Saccharomyces cerevisiae S288C: one gene and its partners. Changing the gene in region 3 together with the main gene of any one other region gives a genetic interaction. Each region holds a gene or a part of one and is shown on either strand. Other genes may lie near its edges. The genes, in order: BCH2, UGA3, RMP1 and ITT1.

Region 1 (5,013 bases), on a different chromosome or scaffold from region 3:
AGGATGATCGTTTACACCTTCAATAATCTCTGGCTTTTTAGCGCTATCTGTTTCTTCGTCGAGAATCTTCTCGTTGGTAACATATTCTATCAATTTTGATAAAACATCAGGATACTTCAAGAATATTAGTAGCTTGAAATTTGAACACATTAATTCCGTATACAGTTCGTCATCATCCAGCAAATCGTCTAAGACGTCCAAATTAGGTCTATAATTTTCATATTCCGATTCTGTAGTGGGCAGAGTATTTTCTTCTTCCTTCTCTTCGTTCTCGTTAACTACATTATCTTCAGAAGCAGCGTAGTCATGTGAAGAGTTATCTTCGTCATCAGCAATATTTTCTTCACATGTGCCGGTAGGTACGTCGTCATCTTGGTCCTTATTGATTTTAATAAAGGCACTATTTAGAATCTTAGAAACCGGTGACTCTATCGAGTAATCCTGACCAAACTTCCAGAAAGAACCTGACATGCTATTATAATCTTCTCGCAGTTAAGTAAATGAAGAAATGAAATAAAAGAAGAGGATAACAGGACTTATCAACTAAACGCTAAAGTAAATGAACAAACAAAACAAAAGATGATAAAGAAAATGCTAAAGGTGAAAATACTTCAATGAGGTACCCTTCGTATCTTATAATACAAATAGAAAAAATGACAATTAACCGTACGAATTGCAAGGCAAATGCAACTCTTTATTCGTGAGCCGGCCTTTGCAAGAATAAAAAATTCTTGACTTGATAGAAAATCTATTACGAACAAACAATTGCCCGTCAAAAAAAAAGAAATAAAAGGTGAAATTACAATAGTAAATATCCAACACCTTTCTTATCTTTGATATGTCTTCGAATGGACAAGGAAAGAGCTGAAAAGGGTCTAGTATACCCTTGACGTATTGATGTTATTTTTACGCTGGTCATTTTTTACTCTGTCAAATCGTTGAAAAATTACTATTAGGATATTACCCGCGCTAAAGTATTAGCATTATCGCCGTAAATTTGTCCATTAAGAATACAGACACACACACACAGTATATATATATAGATTCATTAAATCAATTTGATCAGTTAGTCTGCCAGAGGTTTGATAGTGGAAGGAAGATCTGGAAGAGGGCGTTCATAGGCTAGGCAGGCTTCATTCCTATTTTTAGAGAGGCATTCAAGCATATAATCTATCACCGAAGTGATGCCAGCTTGCCCGTAAGGAGAATTAATTATTTTATTCTTAATAATTTCGGAGCCCAGCTGTCCCTCTAGTTTCCTTAGTACTTGAAGGGAAAATATCTGAAATCTATCATAGAATCGTATCCGAAAGGAGATCAATTTCACTAATAGATCTAAAATGATATCGACGTCAAACCTTCTCATAAACTCATCATTAAAATCCATGGTTAAATAAAAGTTCAACAGATGGTGACAACTAATAGGGTCAAACCTTGCCAAAATACTAGTTCGTAGACACGCTACTGCATCGGGTAAGTCACTCACTCGAAGCAGAGTTAAGCCAAGTAGTTCCCATTCCAACCCGCTGTATTTCGCCGTAGCCTTATTTTCTTGAGATGAAGTGCTAATACTTAAATCTTCGTAAACGTCCAGAAACATAGCATCAAACCATCTCTGACAGAGCCTCTTCTGGCGTAATTCTGTGGACAGCTTGTCCGAAGATTCTATCATTTTGAATTTACTCTCCATAACGAAAACGTCAGATCTTAGCTGAAGTAAGGCGTTCCAGCCGATTCTAGCGACTAATTCCATCAACAGAAGACGTACTTGCTTTATAAACCAACTCTCTTGTCTGGTTTCTTTGCTTCGTTTTAGTAACAGCATATCTCCTACTGTATTTACCTCCTGCTGAGATACAAAGTTTATGAGATTGTCACTCTGTGGTCCACAAATAGGTCCTAATTCAAGACAGGATTTATTCCATATCTCTTCAATACATCCATACTTAGATTCATTGGGCATTACAGTGCGTCCAAATATTATTGTCTTCAACTCCAACTCATTTTCATAATGCATAATATTCATGAGGTGATTTAACTCGTGTGATGTCATGGTACAGTGTTCTCTGCTATGACATAGTGGTGCCTTGTAGTAGTTCATATAAAACTTAAAAGCGTTAATCTGGGCTTGTTTAACGATATCATATTCCGCTAAACAGGGCATCGAATTGATTGAGAGCAGTGCCTTATCATACTGTTGTGAAAAAATATAGCCTTTAGATAACAGATACCAAGATTCAAAATTATCAGAAGATAAATTCGTGGCCAATGTGGAAATGGATAAAGAAAGTTCATAGTCGTTATTGTTCAATAGAAACCTTGCTTGGATGCTTAATACATCGGTGATGCAATTGATCAAATCAGAAATGTAAGGTTCATCGGATGGCAATCCATACAGTACGGGTAGTAATAGGTCTAATATCTCGTGTATCCGTTTGATCATTTCTACATCGCGGTCATTACTTCGCTCCATGATAGAAATAATTACAATAGCGTAATATCTAGAATTTGACGGGTCATTCGTCATCAAGTTGTCTAAAACCTGGATCGCATAGTCTGTTATGAATTCTGGAGTTATAGACAGAAATACTAATAATGATTCAGTTAGGTAGTTATTCAGTATCGTTGCATAGACGCTCTTTGTAGAATCCCAACCACATTCTAAAAATCTTGGCAAAAATTTGCATAACGAATCTATCACCCTTTTATAATCACTCGCGCATCTGTTCTCAAAAACAAATGGTAATTCCACTAGCCCAGGTATTTTTCTTTCAAAATCTGAATTAATAATTACGCTTCTTATGCAACAGCTAACGAAAGTTTCTTCCCAAATAAGATCACTCAACGGTATTTCATTGTTGCCATTTAAACAGTCAACGATATTAACTTGATAAACATCTTCAGATTCATATCTTAATCTAATGTCCAATTTTTGAAAGATATTGAAAGTGCAGTAGGTTGTGATGTCGTCGTTCTTCAAAGATGCTGATTTTAGTTTCTTACCATCATTCCATTTTATCAGCTTCAAAAATGCAATTGGCATAGAGACGCTCGAGGCGTCGATCCCCGTGATGTAAAAGAATTCACCTATTTTCTCATCGTGAAATTTATCTAACTCTGTACAATGAATCAAGTCTGGAGGACCAATACCAGATTTACCAGTGCTCACCAATTCACTTAAAAGGGACGTCCTAAAGATTAAACTTTCACCATGTACTTTTTCCAAAGTTCTTGGATAATCTATAGGAACGTTTTTACGTGTTGGTTTCACACGTTGCTGTGGAACAACACCTGACGGAAGAGAACCTGCAGCCTTTTTATTCTTGCCTTTCTTGGACTTTGTAGACCCCCATAAAAAACTCATATTCCTCGAGGCCAATTGATCTGTTAACTGTACTTTACTACTTATACTACTTGATATATATGCCCTTTCTTTGCACACAATGTCTCTTTATTGCCGTTTGTCATTTTGTTTTTTTTATTTTTATGTTGAATTTAGATACACCATTGTGCATACATCTTATTTTTCCCAAACGGTGTAACAATGCCTCGGAAACCTGATGACGAATTGCTAAAATAATACGGCATTGTACGGCACCAGGACTGGCAACGTAGCATTTCCAATATTATAATATTTTTACTCAATAACTGAAAAGATAATAAGAAAATTATAAAAGTAAAAAAATTCTTCCCCGCCAGGACTTGAACCTGGAATCTTCTGGTTCGTAGCCAGACGCCGTGACCATTGGGCCACGAGGAACAAGAATTATTAAGAGACATTAAAAATTGAGAACCCTAAGTATCAGCACTATTTATTGCATGATTTTTTACCTAATATAGTAGTTCAAATTACCAGACCCAACTAATCCTGCTCTAAGAAGTAAGAAATGTGTGAATTTTGAAATAATTGTTGGGTTCCATTGTGAATAAAAGCTATCATTGAGAAATGTTTGAATAATATGATAATTACTGGTGTTCCATTATTGTTGAAGGCTATGATACACAATATACTAAAAGTTCTCTTCGAGGATATTAGAAATGCGGAAGAAGGAATCGGTATTCATGAATAGTAATGTTATTGTCTCGTTTTTTTACTTTATATGCTTATTCTTTATCTTGTTACGTTATCAATGCTTGCATTTCAGCTTCTATTATATTTAATAACCGTTTCTCATTCTTAATGTCATCTTCTTACACTGTGTATGAGAACATACTGCTAATTTGTGTGCTAGTGCATAGATGGTAGTTAATTCTTATTCAGACAAAAAGTTTTAGTATCTGATCTGTTGTTAAACATGTTAGATAAGTATTTTTTGGAATAAAGATCCACTATCGTATATTGGCTAGCGGTCGTGACACTAATATGTTATTACATACTGCATAAATAGAATACACAAATCGTGAGGTACAGTCATCCAATGTTGTGGAAGTCGATACTCAAGACCTAAAGAAAAATAAAATTTCTGAATGAAAAACATAACGATAGTAAAAATGAGCGGTATGTTATGACATAGGAGATAGAAGAACAAAACTGATCTGATCAAATTATTTTAAGAATATTTTACTAGTATGTTTACTACATGACAATCTGCAGCAGTGCCAGCTACATGGTGATCTCTCCAAAACAGACCAAACAATTTGCGCTTGTATTGCTTTTCAAAATAAAACTAAACATATGTAATTGTGCTTACAAGAATTGCTAGCTATATCTTATGTTGGTAATAGATAACGATTAGTAATACCTTTTATGAGAAAGAATAAGGAGGCAATGCCATCATTTTCGCCACATTAAGAGTGCACGACTCTATCCAGGGAATTTGATACAACACAGCAACATTGTCGCCATATTTAAAGCTTTCTACATAGCATAATGTTTTTTTTTTTTTACAATAGATAAATTTCATCCGGAAGAAAAATGAAAAAAAAATGAAAAAATTGGTGAAGTTTATGGTGTAAAATGAGAATCATACTGCTCAAATAGTGACAAAGCCATCATTAATCATAGATTTCTTC
Region 2 (4,293 bases), on a different chromosome or scaffold from region 3:
GTCTAACTCATCTTTGAAAGTTGCTGAATTCATCACACCTTCTCTGGAGCGCATCCAATTCTTGTTACCTCTTAAGGTGTTAATTTCACCATTATGAGCTAGCCAACGTAAAGGTTGAGCTCTATCCCAAGAGGGGAAAGTATTAGTGGAAAATCTTGAATGGACCAACGCCATGTGGGATTTGAAATGCGCATTAGTCAAGTCGGGATAGTAGTTATACACTTGAGCTGGCGTCAATTGACCCTTGTAAACAATGGTGGTATTGTTTAGGGAACAAACATAGAACCAGTTTTCCAGTCCTATTTGAAGAGAGGCCTCCTTCCTTAAAAGATACAATTGAGTTCTAAATTTAGTTTCATTAAACTCCGGTTGTTTTTCATCATACAATGGAACCAATAATGGCTGTAGAATAGTAGGTTCACGAGATAATGCAACGTCTCCTAAAATAGTAGAATCTACGGGGACGTTTCTCCAACCTAATACGGATAAGTTGAAGGATGCAGCTAAATCCTCGAAAATCTTCTGACACTTAATTAAATTTTTCTTGTTATTTTTTTCGTTCTTCTTGAAGAAGACGTTACCTACGGCGTATTTGCCCATCTCAGGTATGTCTAGATCAAGATCTAACTTGAATTCTCTTTTCATAAATTCGTGAGGAATACCTAGCAGAATACCGGCACCGTCACCGTTCCCATCAGATGAGACGGCACCACGATGTGTCATATTCACTAAAAGATATCTAGCGTCAGTAACAATCTTGTGAGACTGTTCACCATGCTTATTTGCTACGAAACCGACACCACAAGCGTCATGTTCATAATCAGGGTCGTAAAGTCCTCGTTTGTCCGGAATCACATTTGCCCAAGATTTATGAAGATGGTGTTCATCGTTATAGTTTTGAATTGTCCCACCTTCGTAAGCTTCTTCCAATGGATCGAAATTGTCTGATTTCAACACTGGCATGCTTTCTTTTCTAATTCTTTTTCTAGTTCTTCAAAATAAATAAATGGCAAATAGATTAAGAAAAAAGAGAGAGTAGAAAGACAAAAATAAATAAAAAAAAACTGAAGCAGAAAAATAAATAAATAAGTTAAACGTTAATCACTACCTCAATGAGCTAAAAGAAGGGGAAGAAAGAGCAACTGAGAGTATCCGTCTGCGTAGTATAGGACTGAGATAGCAATTTCCTATCTTCCTATGATGTGGAGACGATTAGTTTGGTGTGTTATCAAGTAAGATATAAGAATTGATTAATTTGGTAAGAAATGAAACAATAGGACGAAAAATACAATAAGATAAGGAAGACCATCAGAACTTATGAATGACTAAGAAAAGCAGTTTATATTTTTTTTTTGGGCAATTTATTGCTTCTTTTTTTTACGTTTTGCGGGCATCACGTTCGTCGTGACATATGACTTGAAAAATGTGCAAAAGCTTATCGGAGCCAATCGGATTGACGCATTAAAACCGAAGTGTATTAGGACCAAATTTGCGCTGTATAGGGTTGAACGGTAGGGCTACCAGGGTCTGAGTCATCAAAGAAAAAGAAATTACAATAAGAGTCTTACTTAAGATGATATAGAATTGTTGTTATTGTTCATGTATGGATGCCAAGAAAACAAAGTTTTTTAAAGTGAGGTATGAATTATGGCGTGGAGAAGCTGAAATTGAAATATTCGAAGCATGGGTGTATTACTTGCAAGATCAGAAAGAAGAGATGCTCTGAAGATAAACCTGTGTGCCGGGACTGTCGTCGATTAAGTTTTCCCTGTATCTATATATCAGAATCTGTTGATAAGCAGTCTTTGAAAAAAATAAAGGCAGATATACAGCACCAGTTGATCAGCAAGAAAAGAAAGCATGCTCCTGACAGTGCTCAGAAAGCGGCCGTGGCCACCCGTACTCGACGGGTCGGTAGCGACGAACAGGATAACCAGGTATATTTGTCAAAACCGCTGGAAGATTGCATTTCTCAGAAGCTGGACTCTATGGGATTGCAGCTGTACAACTACTACAGGTCTCACCTTGCAAACATAATTTCCATCGCGCCCATGAACCAGAACTACTATCTGAACATTTTCTTGCCAATGGCCCACGAGAATGATGGTATATTGTTTGCTATTCTTGCTTGGTCAGCTAATCATTTGTCTATATCATCATCAAATGAGCTGCGAAAGGATGAAATATTTGTCAACTTGGCGAACAAGTATACATACATGTCGTTATCGCATCTAAAGACAAACGAGGGCTCAAGTGCCTGTGCTAAACTGGGGTTTCTATATTCACTAGCACAAATCCTAATCTTATGTGGTTCAGAGATATGTCAGGGTGATGTGAAATTTTGGAAGATATTATTGAATATAGGAAAAAATTTGATCGAAAACCATGTGGGCAAGGATGTCTCACGGATACTAACCACTACTACAGAAGAACCCTCCCTAGAGGAGAGGATAATCTTCCCCAATTTCAATTCCGTTGTTAAGTACTGGCTGATTGTGAATTTTATATATCATGATATTTTGAATTTCAATACAACGTCCTTCCCGATCGAACAATACGAGAAATTCTTCCAAAGGGATCAGAACTCTTTACCCAGCTCAGCCAACTTTATTGAGTCAATAGACTCGCCAATTGAGGAAATAGACCCTTTAATTGGCATCAACAAGCCTATTTTACTACTATTGGGACAAGTCACAAATTTGACGAGGTTTTTGCAGACTATGGAACAGGAAGAAATGCTAGAGCATGGCGATAAAATTTTGAGTTTGCAAGTCGAGATTTATAAATTACAACCTTCGCTTATGGCGCTGGAACATTTGGATGATGAAAAGAAATTTTACTATTTAGAACTATTCGAGATAATGAAAATTTCTACCTTAATGTTCTTTCAATTAACTTTATTAAAGATTGACAAAGATTCGCTGGAACTACAGATACTGAGAAACAAATTGGACTCGAAGCTAGACAAGGTCATCGGAACTTTTTTGGAAGGATCGTTATGCTTCCCACTTTTCATTTACGGTGTATGCATTCAGGTAGAAGATATGGAGAAAAAAATAGATTTGGAAGCCAAATTTGACGACATTTTAAAACGATATAAATGTTACAATTTCCAAAATGCTAGATTATTGATACGGAAAATTTGGCAAAACGAGGCTGATGGCATCAGTGAGCATGACCTGGTCCACATGATTGACGAATTAGATTACAATATTAATTTTGCCTGAGCAGCATATATTTTCTTTCCCCGCCCCCTGGGTGTCTTAAATTATTGTTTCACCACACAAACATATATATGTTCTTTTTTTTTTTTGTAGGACGTACGGATTCAAAAACAATTTATACCTATACAATGTAGAAATGCTAACGTTGAGACATAGAAGTAATTATTTAATTAACCATTTTAGGTGATTATTTTCAGGGGTGTCCGAGTCCACCTCTACAACATCCACCTGCCCGGTTTGATACCTGTAATCGCCTGTCTTGGAGTCCTCCACAAAGCTTATGCTTCTCTCAGATTTCCTGCGTGGCCTATCCATTATGGCTGCTCCTGCATACGACGTGCCAGTGCCGCCAATCATATCTATATCATGATTGCTTTCCCCGTCGCTTGTACTATCTTCATTCGAGTGGACGTCATGAGCCCATACAGATTTATACCGATTTGCTCTCGGAAATTCATGGCCATCTAGCACTTGTATTCTTTGGTAGTGATCACTATCATTATCCTCGTCACTCTCGTCCCTTTCACAAACGGGGCTTTCCCTTCTCTGCTTTGCAGTCCTTGTTAATTTAGTCTTAGACTTCATTTTAGCTCTTTTATTAGATTTTGTCTTTAATTTGCCCTTGATCTTCAAAATTAACTCATCAAAGTTGTCCTCGTGTGCATCATATACCACCTTATATGATTGTTGGTATTGTGTGGCGAATAAGTCCTGGTTCCAGGCAAAACCTTGACTTTGAGATACAGATATTTTAAAATTTGGCCTTATTTCTGCACTATATGTAAATACCGAACTGGTATTTGAGTATACAATAAGTTTCTCCTTATCCTCCATGACTCTTCAGTAGCGGTTATGAACACGATATAACTATCTGCATTTAACGCTGGTACTGATTTCAATTTATCCTTATCAAATGATACGCTCTTTCCCTTTAAAAAGCGCCCTTACCTCGTTCCGAACGGCGCTAGTAAGAATTTCATCAAATTGCCCTTCTTGTGGGGGGATGCTCATCACAGACTACTGAATATGCATCACAGAAAAGACAAAAAGAACCATTAACATGATTCTG
Region 3 (3,512 bases):
GGTGTTCTGACCCATGAAGATGCTGATGTTATAGGAATGGCGTGAATCATATGAATGTATTGAGGCTCCATGCCAAAATACGTGGCGTGATCAATTTTATTTTCGAATAAAATACCACTAACTTTATTACCAATAAATTCTTTCGGTTGGACAGTATTATTGCTTTCGTATAGGAAGTAGCTCTGGAAAACATTTCTCATGATGCCGAGTTGTAAGTTCGCTATGTCAGTTAACTTAGAATTTCCAGTTACCAACCCCCACAATTTTATCGCATAGCAAGAATTGACATCTTCTGAAGTAGATTCTTCATCTTTACCGTCACCACTTGGAAATAGTCCTTTGGCCCATGAATGGCCATTAAACCAATCAAATGACCTAAATTGAGGGAAGTACGGATCATCGTTGTCAACACCAGAGTAATCTCTAATTAAGCACTCAACCCAATCTCTATTATTTTCTAACCAGGAGTTGTTAGTAACTCCACTTAAATCAGAATCGACTAAAGAGATAATGGCAGCCGTTATGACATGATAAGAGTAATGAAAATGATGATCATTATAATAAGAGTTACCAAAGTCTTGGCTAGAAGAGCCTGATGAAATTATGCCTTTCCAACTAACGTCGTAATTTAAAGGTAAGACTTGCTGATTGCTGATGAATCTCTCCATTGCAATAGTCAGTTTAGATAATAATTCTTTTGTTAAATTTTCATCATGAAGGATGTAATGTGTCACATAAAGAATCCACGCATACTTTGCAAGTATCTTACCAGAGAAATACATAGAATCTATGTTTGATTCTTGTTGAGGGTCACTCAATTGAACTTCTTGAACAGCAGCTTCCCGAATTTTAGATAGCTTTTCTTGACTGTAATCTGCCTTCTTATTCAAAGATAACGCGACAGGTTCAAAGCCCAATTCTTGAGGTACTTGAACCTGCATATCAAAACTGTTTGTGAGATAACCAGTCATTAAGCCTTTAACTGTGGAATCCAGGCTTGAGGCAATTTCACGTTCCTGCATTTCTGGTGTGAATGCCGCTTTATGATGTGGTAAAGCATACATTAGAGTAGTTCCAGACTGCGAGTAGCCTGCAACCGTATAGTTAAATCTGTAATTTGTGAAATGTTCATCAACAGTTTGCCCTGATAGGTCACAGTATACTGGATAACAGCCCGCTGCCATGTCAATACTGGGGACGGAGTCTGCAGATAATTGACAGATAAGACCATTGATTTTATGAGATGATATTATTGTATTGCTGTCGAGTAATGAAATTTGAAAATCTTGTGGAAAAGAGTAATCAGGTGAGGTCAAATAAAGTATCCAATTCCTATTATTCTCAAGTTGTATATTATATTTACCATATCTTTCATTCACGCTTATGCGCTCTAAGCTCCTGAAACCAACGGCGCTTCTTAATTCAAAACCCAAATCGTGGTAAATAGCCGTGACAAAGCCCATCCCCTGAACCAGCGGGAATTCTATAAACTGGGAACTACTCAAAGACATTAGTAAGCACATGGACATATGTTTCATATCCCGGAATTCAAGCTTGATATCATTTGAAGAGACAAATTCCCTGGCCTTGAATACAAATGATTTTATATTTGTGGGATTGAAGTAGAATCTGGGAGGATTTGTAGTTGTATCAAAAACCCTTTGAGACGCTAAAGTATGATTGGCGGCCAAACCAAACAATTCTGGATCACGAGAAAACCAAATTGAATAAGGATGTGTCCATATAGGTTGTGTATTATCGTCTAATAACATGTTTGTGTAGAACTTGTTTGTCTCCAATGGATCAACAGATTGATCATCAATATTCGGCTTTGGTACCGGGTGTTGAACTTTGTTGAAGACGGAAGGAGGAGCTTTTAAGTTAGAAAGGACAGGTGATTGAAAAATATTGTCACTATTCACCTGGCTGTCAGCTAAAGGGTTAGAACTGCTTGGTGTGCGCAGTGATTCACCTGCCACCCTATTTTCTCGAGGTTTACTGGAGTTCTCAGAAGAACAAACTGGTGGCTGAACATTTGCGCGAGGTGGTAAGGGAGGAGGTCCTCTATTGGTAGTACCGCCAGGTCTATTAGGAACAGGTGGAGGAATGGCTTGCCTACTGTAACACATCTTTTTACTTCTCGTATTTATTTATTTTTGTTTTTATGATACTAGCACTTTTCAGAAATTCATGAATTTTATTTATGGTTCCAAGAAAAAAACTTCAAAGAAATGAGTACTAGAATGATATATCCACAAAAAAAAAAAGAGCAGAAACAAAATGGATGAGATGGATAATGTGATACGATCTCTGGAGCAAGAATATCGGTTAATATTGCTCTTGAACCATAGGAACAAAAATCAACATAGAGCGGCTAGCTGGTATGGATCGTTCAATGAGATGAAAAGAAATTGTGGACAAATAATAACGCTTTTTAGCTCGAGAAGATTACAAGCCAAACGCCTTAAAGATGTTGAATGGGTCAAGTTGCACAGGCTATTACAGAGAGCACTTTTTAGACAGTTAAAGAGATGGTACTGGCAGTTCAATGGCGTAATTGCGCTGGGACAATTTGTAACGTTGGGTTGTACACTAGTAACATTGCTGGCAAATGTGAGGGCACTGTATATGAGATTATGGGAGATTAATGAAACTGAGTTTATAAGATGTGGATGCTTAATAAAGAACTTACCGAGAACAAAAGCAAAATCGGTTGTGAACGATGTCGAAGAACTTGGAGAAATTATAGATGAAGATATTGGCAACAACGTTCAAGAAAACGAACTAGTGATAACGTCTATACCAAAGCCTCTGACAGAGAACTGTAAGAAGAAAAAGAAAAGGAAAAAGAAGAACAAATCAGCCATTGATGGCATATTCGGATAAATATACAAGTAAATAGACTTTTTAAAATAATAATATCAATGCTAATAAATCATTCATTAATGACCTTGTCTGCCCAAGTAGGCAAAACAAACGCACTAGAATGTATTTGAGGATTATAGTACTTCAGCTTCCCTTGTTCTTGCTCAGATATCTTTCTTTGCGGAATGTTCAACGGTATATTGGCGTTATTACTGCAAACAATTAAACCTAATTGGCCAGATGTATAGGTTGGAACCATGGTATAGCAATATTCTGTATTAGGAAATACCTTTTTGGCTGTATTTTTCAAATCATGTAAGTATTTTAAATTTAACCAAAAATTTTCAGAGCTTTGCATAATAACAACGCCATTAGGATTTAAAGCATCTTTCAATAGTTCGAAATACCTCTCTTGAAAAAACGCTTCAGCTGGACCTTCAGGATCAGAACTATCTGTAATAATGACGTCAAATTTCTTATGGACGTCGGAAGCACCTATATCTTGTAAGAACTTGAAGCCATCGCAAAGTTTCAAGTCCAACCTTTCGTCATCGAAAGCACCATTACTCAATGTGGGCAAGAACTTACGGGATAATTCGATCACTGATGAGTCAATTTCTACCATAGTGATATCTTCTACACAGCTG
Region 4 (4,080 bases), on a different chromosome or scaffold from region 3:
ACGACTTGAAGATAAATACCAAAAATCAAGGTGTTATCCAACTAGATGGATTTTCTCAGGATGACTATAACTTAATCAAGAATGATTTCCATCGCCGTTTTAATATTCAGGTAGAGCAAAGAGAACATTCCTTACGTGGTTGGAACTGGGGTAAGACAGACCTTGCCAGGAATGAAATGGTTTTTGCTTTAAATGGTAAACCAACTTTTGAAATTCCTTATGCTAGAATAAATAATACAAATTTGACCTCTAAAAATGAAGTAGGAATAGAATTTAATATTCAAGATGAAGAGTACCAACCAGCCGGTGACGAATTGGTAGAGATGAGGTTCTATATTCCTGGTGTTATTCAAACAAACGTCGATGAAAACATGACCAAAAAGGAAGAGTCAAGCAACGAGGTCGTACCAAAGAAAGAAGATGGTGCTGAAGGAGAAGATGTACAAATGGCAGTAGAGGAAAAGAGTATGGCAGAAGCATTCTATGAAGAACTAAAGGAAAAGGCAGACATCGGGGAAGTCGCTGGTGATGCAATAGTTTCCTTCCAAGACGTCTTTTTTACCACGCCAAGAGGTCGTTATGATATCGATATTTACAAGAACTCCATTAGACTCAGGGGTAAGACCTATGAATACAAATTGCAACATCGTCAAATACAAAGAATTGTTTCGTTACCAAAGGCAGATGATATCCATCACTTATTGGTTTTGGCAATTGAACCTCCTTTACGTCAAGGACAGACCACCTACCCCTTTCTTGTCTTACAATTTCAGAAAGATGAGGAAACAGAAGTGCAATTGAATCTAGAAGATGAAGATTATGAGGAAAATTATAAGGATAAATTGAAAAAACAATATGATGCTAAAACTCATATAGTTTTAAGTCATGTATTAAAAGGTCTGACTGACCGTAGAGTCATTGTTCCTGGAGAATATAAATCCAAATATGATCAGTGTGCAGTTTCATGTTCTTTCAAAGCAAACGAAGGTTATTTGTATCCATTAGATAACGCTTTCTTCTTTTTAACTAAGCCAACTTTGTACATACCATTCAGTGATGTTAGCATGGTAAACATTTCAAGAGCAGGACAAACTTCTACGTCATCGAGGACGTTTGATTTGGAAGTGGTACTGCGTTCAAATAGAGGTTCTACCACTTTTGCCAACATCAGTAAGGAAGAGCAGCAATTATTGGAACAATTCCTAAAGTCTAAAAACCTAAGGGTGAAGAATGAAGATAGAGAGGTACAAGAAAGGTTACAAACCGCTTTAGGTTCAGACAGTGACGAAGAGGATATTAATATGGGTTCCGCTGGTGAAGATGATGAATCAGTAGATGAGGATTTTCAGGTCAGCTCTGATAATGACGCAGACGAAGTTGCAGAAGAGTTTGATTCAGATGCGGCTTTAAGTGATGCTGAGGGGGGTAGCGACGAAGAAAGGCCTTCGAAGAAGCCTAAGGTAGAATAGTAATAATTTTAGACTGTATAAGTTAAATTTATTGATATTGTGTAAAAACTAACTAATATATTTTGCCAATTGATATTATCATGACATGGTGAGTGTAAGACACCACCTCTTAATTACTGGTGTTATTCTATACATTTATTTGAAATTGGTTTTGTTTTGCAAAATATTTATGTTTTGTTAATCTCCTCTACCCTTTCAATGCTTGAAAAATACTTTCAACTTTTCGATTGGGTGATGAAAAAAAGACAAATAGTGTAAAGGGTTCAAAAATAAATAACAAGCAAGAGAAAGGGACTTTGCTTTTCTCATTTAGTCACCAGTAAGTTATGTCATGGTGTAGAATAACGAATTACAGAAAACTAATATAACTGATGAAAGACCAGGGAGTAAAATGGCTTTGACTCAGTTTGAAAATGATTTGGAAATATTAAGAGATATGTACCCAGAACTGGAAATGAAATCGGTAAAAGTAGAGGAGGAAGGTGAATTCCCTCAAAGAATTAACGGAAAGTTACTGTTCAAGATATCACTATTGGCCGATGTAAATATTGAGTTCGGCGAGCAACATATGTTACTTTCAAACTTATCTAATGAATGCGTGGAGTTCACCATATATAGCTGTCATTATCCGGACATTCGACGGTGTGTTGTTATGGATATCAAATCCTTATGGATATCAACAGATGAAAAGAAGATGTTAATTGACAAAGCGCTGAGACTCGTTGAAGAAACTGTAGATATGAGTATTGAGTTCGCGGATTCGTTTACCTCCATCCTTATCCTCATCTTTGGGTTTCTTATAGATGATACAGCTATATTACTATTCCCTAATGGAATAAGAAAGTGCCTGACACAGGATCAGTATGACTTGTTTAAGCAGATAAGTGAGGAAGCCACCCTCCAAAAAGTGAGCAGATCTAACTACCATTGTTGTATTTGTATGGAAATGGAAAAGGGTGTTAGAATGATCAAATTGCCATGTGAAAATGCGAATGTAGAACACTATCTTTGCAGAGGATGCGCCAAATCTTATTTCACTGCAATGATTCAGGAAAACCGAATATCCAGTGTAAGATGTCCACAATGCGAATACAAAGAATTAAAACTAGAAGATTTCAAGAGCTATAAAAAAATGCTGAAGGCATTGTTTACACCTTTGATTCCAGTGTCCTTCTTAAAAGAGGTTATCGATACAGAGCTATGTGAAAGATACGAAAAAATGTTCTACAACCAGGCGGCTACAAGACTCTCAAAATATTGTCCGTATGCTTGTGTGACTTGTCGAAGATGTGATAGTTGGTGCACAAAAGAAGACCTCGATGATGCGATGATTCAGTGTCAAAAATGTCATTTTGTATTTTGCTTTGACTGCTTGCATGCCTGGCATGGTTACAACAATAAATGTGGCAAGAAAGTTTCGTTATCGACCGATATTATTGAGGAATATCTAGATGATACCGTTACTTCATATGAGAGAAAGCGGAAACTGGAGGCAAAATATGGGAGAAGAGTATTAGAACTTGAAGTCAATGATTACCTTGCTGAAAAAATGTTAGATTTAGCGATTAAAAAAGAGGGTTCGAATTTGCAGCGATGTCCAAAGTGTAAGGTAGTTGTAGAAAGAAGTGAAGGTTGCAATAAAATGAAATGCGAAGTATGCGGGACGCTGTTCTGTTTTATATGCGGAGTATTACTTTATCCTGAGGACCCTTATGAACATTTTAGAGAAGCATATTCAGGCTGTTATGGACGATTGTTTGAAGGTATGCCTGGCACAGAAACTTGAGTGCGATCGCTCTGCCTTCAGTCTCACACTTTTTCTTATAATCTATTGTCATGAAATTTATACAGATGAAAATGAAACGTTATCTTGGGTATACTGCATTCTCTTTTCTTTTACATATCTACCTATCTAAAATACCCTTAGTTTTATCATCTGGCTGATAACGCAAGGACCACTTAGGTCCCATGATGGTGATAAGAGCCATATCCAGTAGTGTGAAAATCCACGAAGCACAGTAGACCAAAAATGAGCAGATTGCCACTAATCTGACCAAAAACTGTATAAAGCTTAAACGAACATCAGAAACTACTATGGATAATGGTTCGAAATTGTATTTGAAGAAGATGCCCGGCATTTTATCACCTTTAGCAGCGACATCTTTGTACAAATAGCGGTAATCGTTAACAGAATATTGATTAGTATCCACTTCTGCCCCCAATTTCTTGAAAAGAGTGGGCACAACAGATGTGTAATAGACGTAAGTAGTTAAAGGTTCATCCTGATTAAACTGTGCAGTGTTATCCAATGGGTTATCAATATATGGATAGAAATCACCAAAAGAGAACTCATTAATAACATGATTAAATTTTAATTCTTCCAGTGGTGCTTTGCGTGAAGCCACGTAACCTAAACTCTTCGCTGTAATCTGCAATTCGCCACTAACTCTATTTACCGGAATGGACCCAAATACATGGCACCCATTGAATTCCGGAAGATGTGCCTTGTTAGGATCACTTTCATCAAAAAATGACCTAGTATCTAGTTTTTCTCTAAATTCTGCTGGGATAGCTTCCCCTAAGATTTCATCCAATTCCGGCGTAATAATTT

Evidence for each region.
Region 1: mutations in RMP1 (region 3) and BCH2 together harm fitness more than expected from each alone (negative genetic interaction), as found in Saccharomyces cerevisiae (one large-scale study listed by BioGRID).
Region 2: mutations in RMP1 (region 3) and UGA3 together harm fitness more than expected from each alone (negative genetic interaction), as found in Saccharomyces cerevisiae (one large-scale study listed by BioGRID).
Region 4: mutations in RMP1 (region 3) and ITT1 together harm fitness less than expected from each alone (positive genetic interaction), as found in Saccharomyces cerevisiae (one large-scale study listed by BioGRID).

Annotation. Positions count from the first base shown.
Region 1 is NC_001143.9:489,715-494,727, reverse strand, and holds BCH2 (Bch2p), read right to left. Parts: upstream 3,365-5,013; coding exon 1,067-3,364; downstream 1-1,066. Other genes in the region: SAP190 (Sap190p), read right to left, coding at 1-471. UniProt on the Saccharomyces cerevisiae protein: Member of the CHS5-ARF1P-binding proteins (CHAPS) which mediates export of specific cargo proteins, including chitin synthase CHS3.
Region 2 is NC_001136.10:154,678-158,970, forward strand, and holds UGA3 (Uga3p), read left to right. Parts: upstream 1-1,640; coding exon 1,641-3,227; downstream 3,228-4,293. Other genes in the region: GLT1 (glutamate synthase (NADH)), read right to left, coding at 1-963; UGX2 (Ugx2p), read right to left, coding at 3,387-4,058. UniProt on the Saccharomyces cerevisiae protein: GABA-dependent positive regulation of genes required for catabolism of GABA (UGA4, UGA1, and UGA2).
Region 3 is NC_001144.5:429,888-433,399, forward strand, and holds RMP1 (Rmp1p), read left to right. Parts: upstream 1-2,280; coding exon 2,281-2,886; downstream 2,887-3,512. Other genes in the region: ACF2 (endo-1,3(4)-beta-glucanase), read right to left, coding at 1-2,129; SPE4 (spermine synthase), read right to left, coding at 2,936-3,512. UniProt on the Saccharomyces cerevisiae protein: Functions as part of ribonuclease MRP (RNase MRP), which is involved in rRNA processing in mitochondria.
Region 4 is NC_001145.3:135,690-139,769, forward strand, and holds ITT1 (RBR-type E3 ubiquitin transferase), read left to right. Parts: upstream 1-1,860; coding exon 1,861-3,255; downstream 3,256-4,080. Other genes in the region: FACT complex subunit POB3, read left to right, coding at 1-1,469; ERV41 (Erv41p), read right to left, coding at 3,374-4,080. UniProt on the Saccharomyces cerevisiae protein: E3 ubiquitin-protein ligase involved in translation quality control. Involved in the rescue of stalled ribosomes by promoting ubiquitination and degradation of proteins on stalled ribosomes.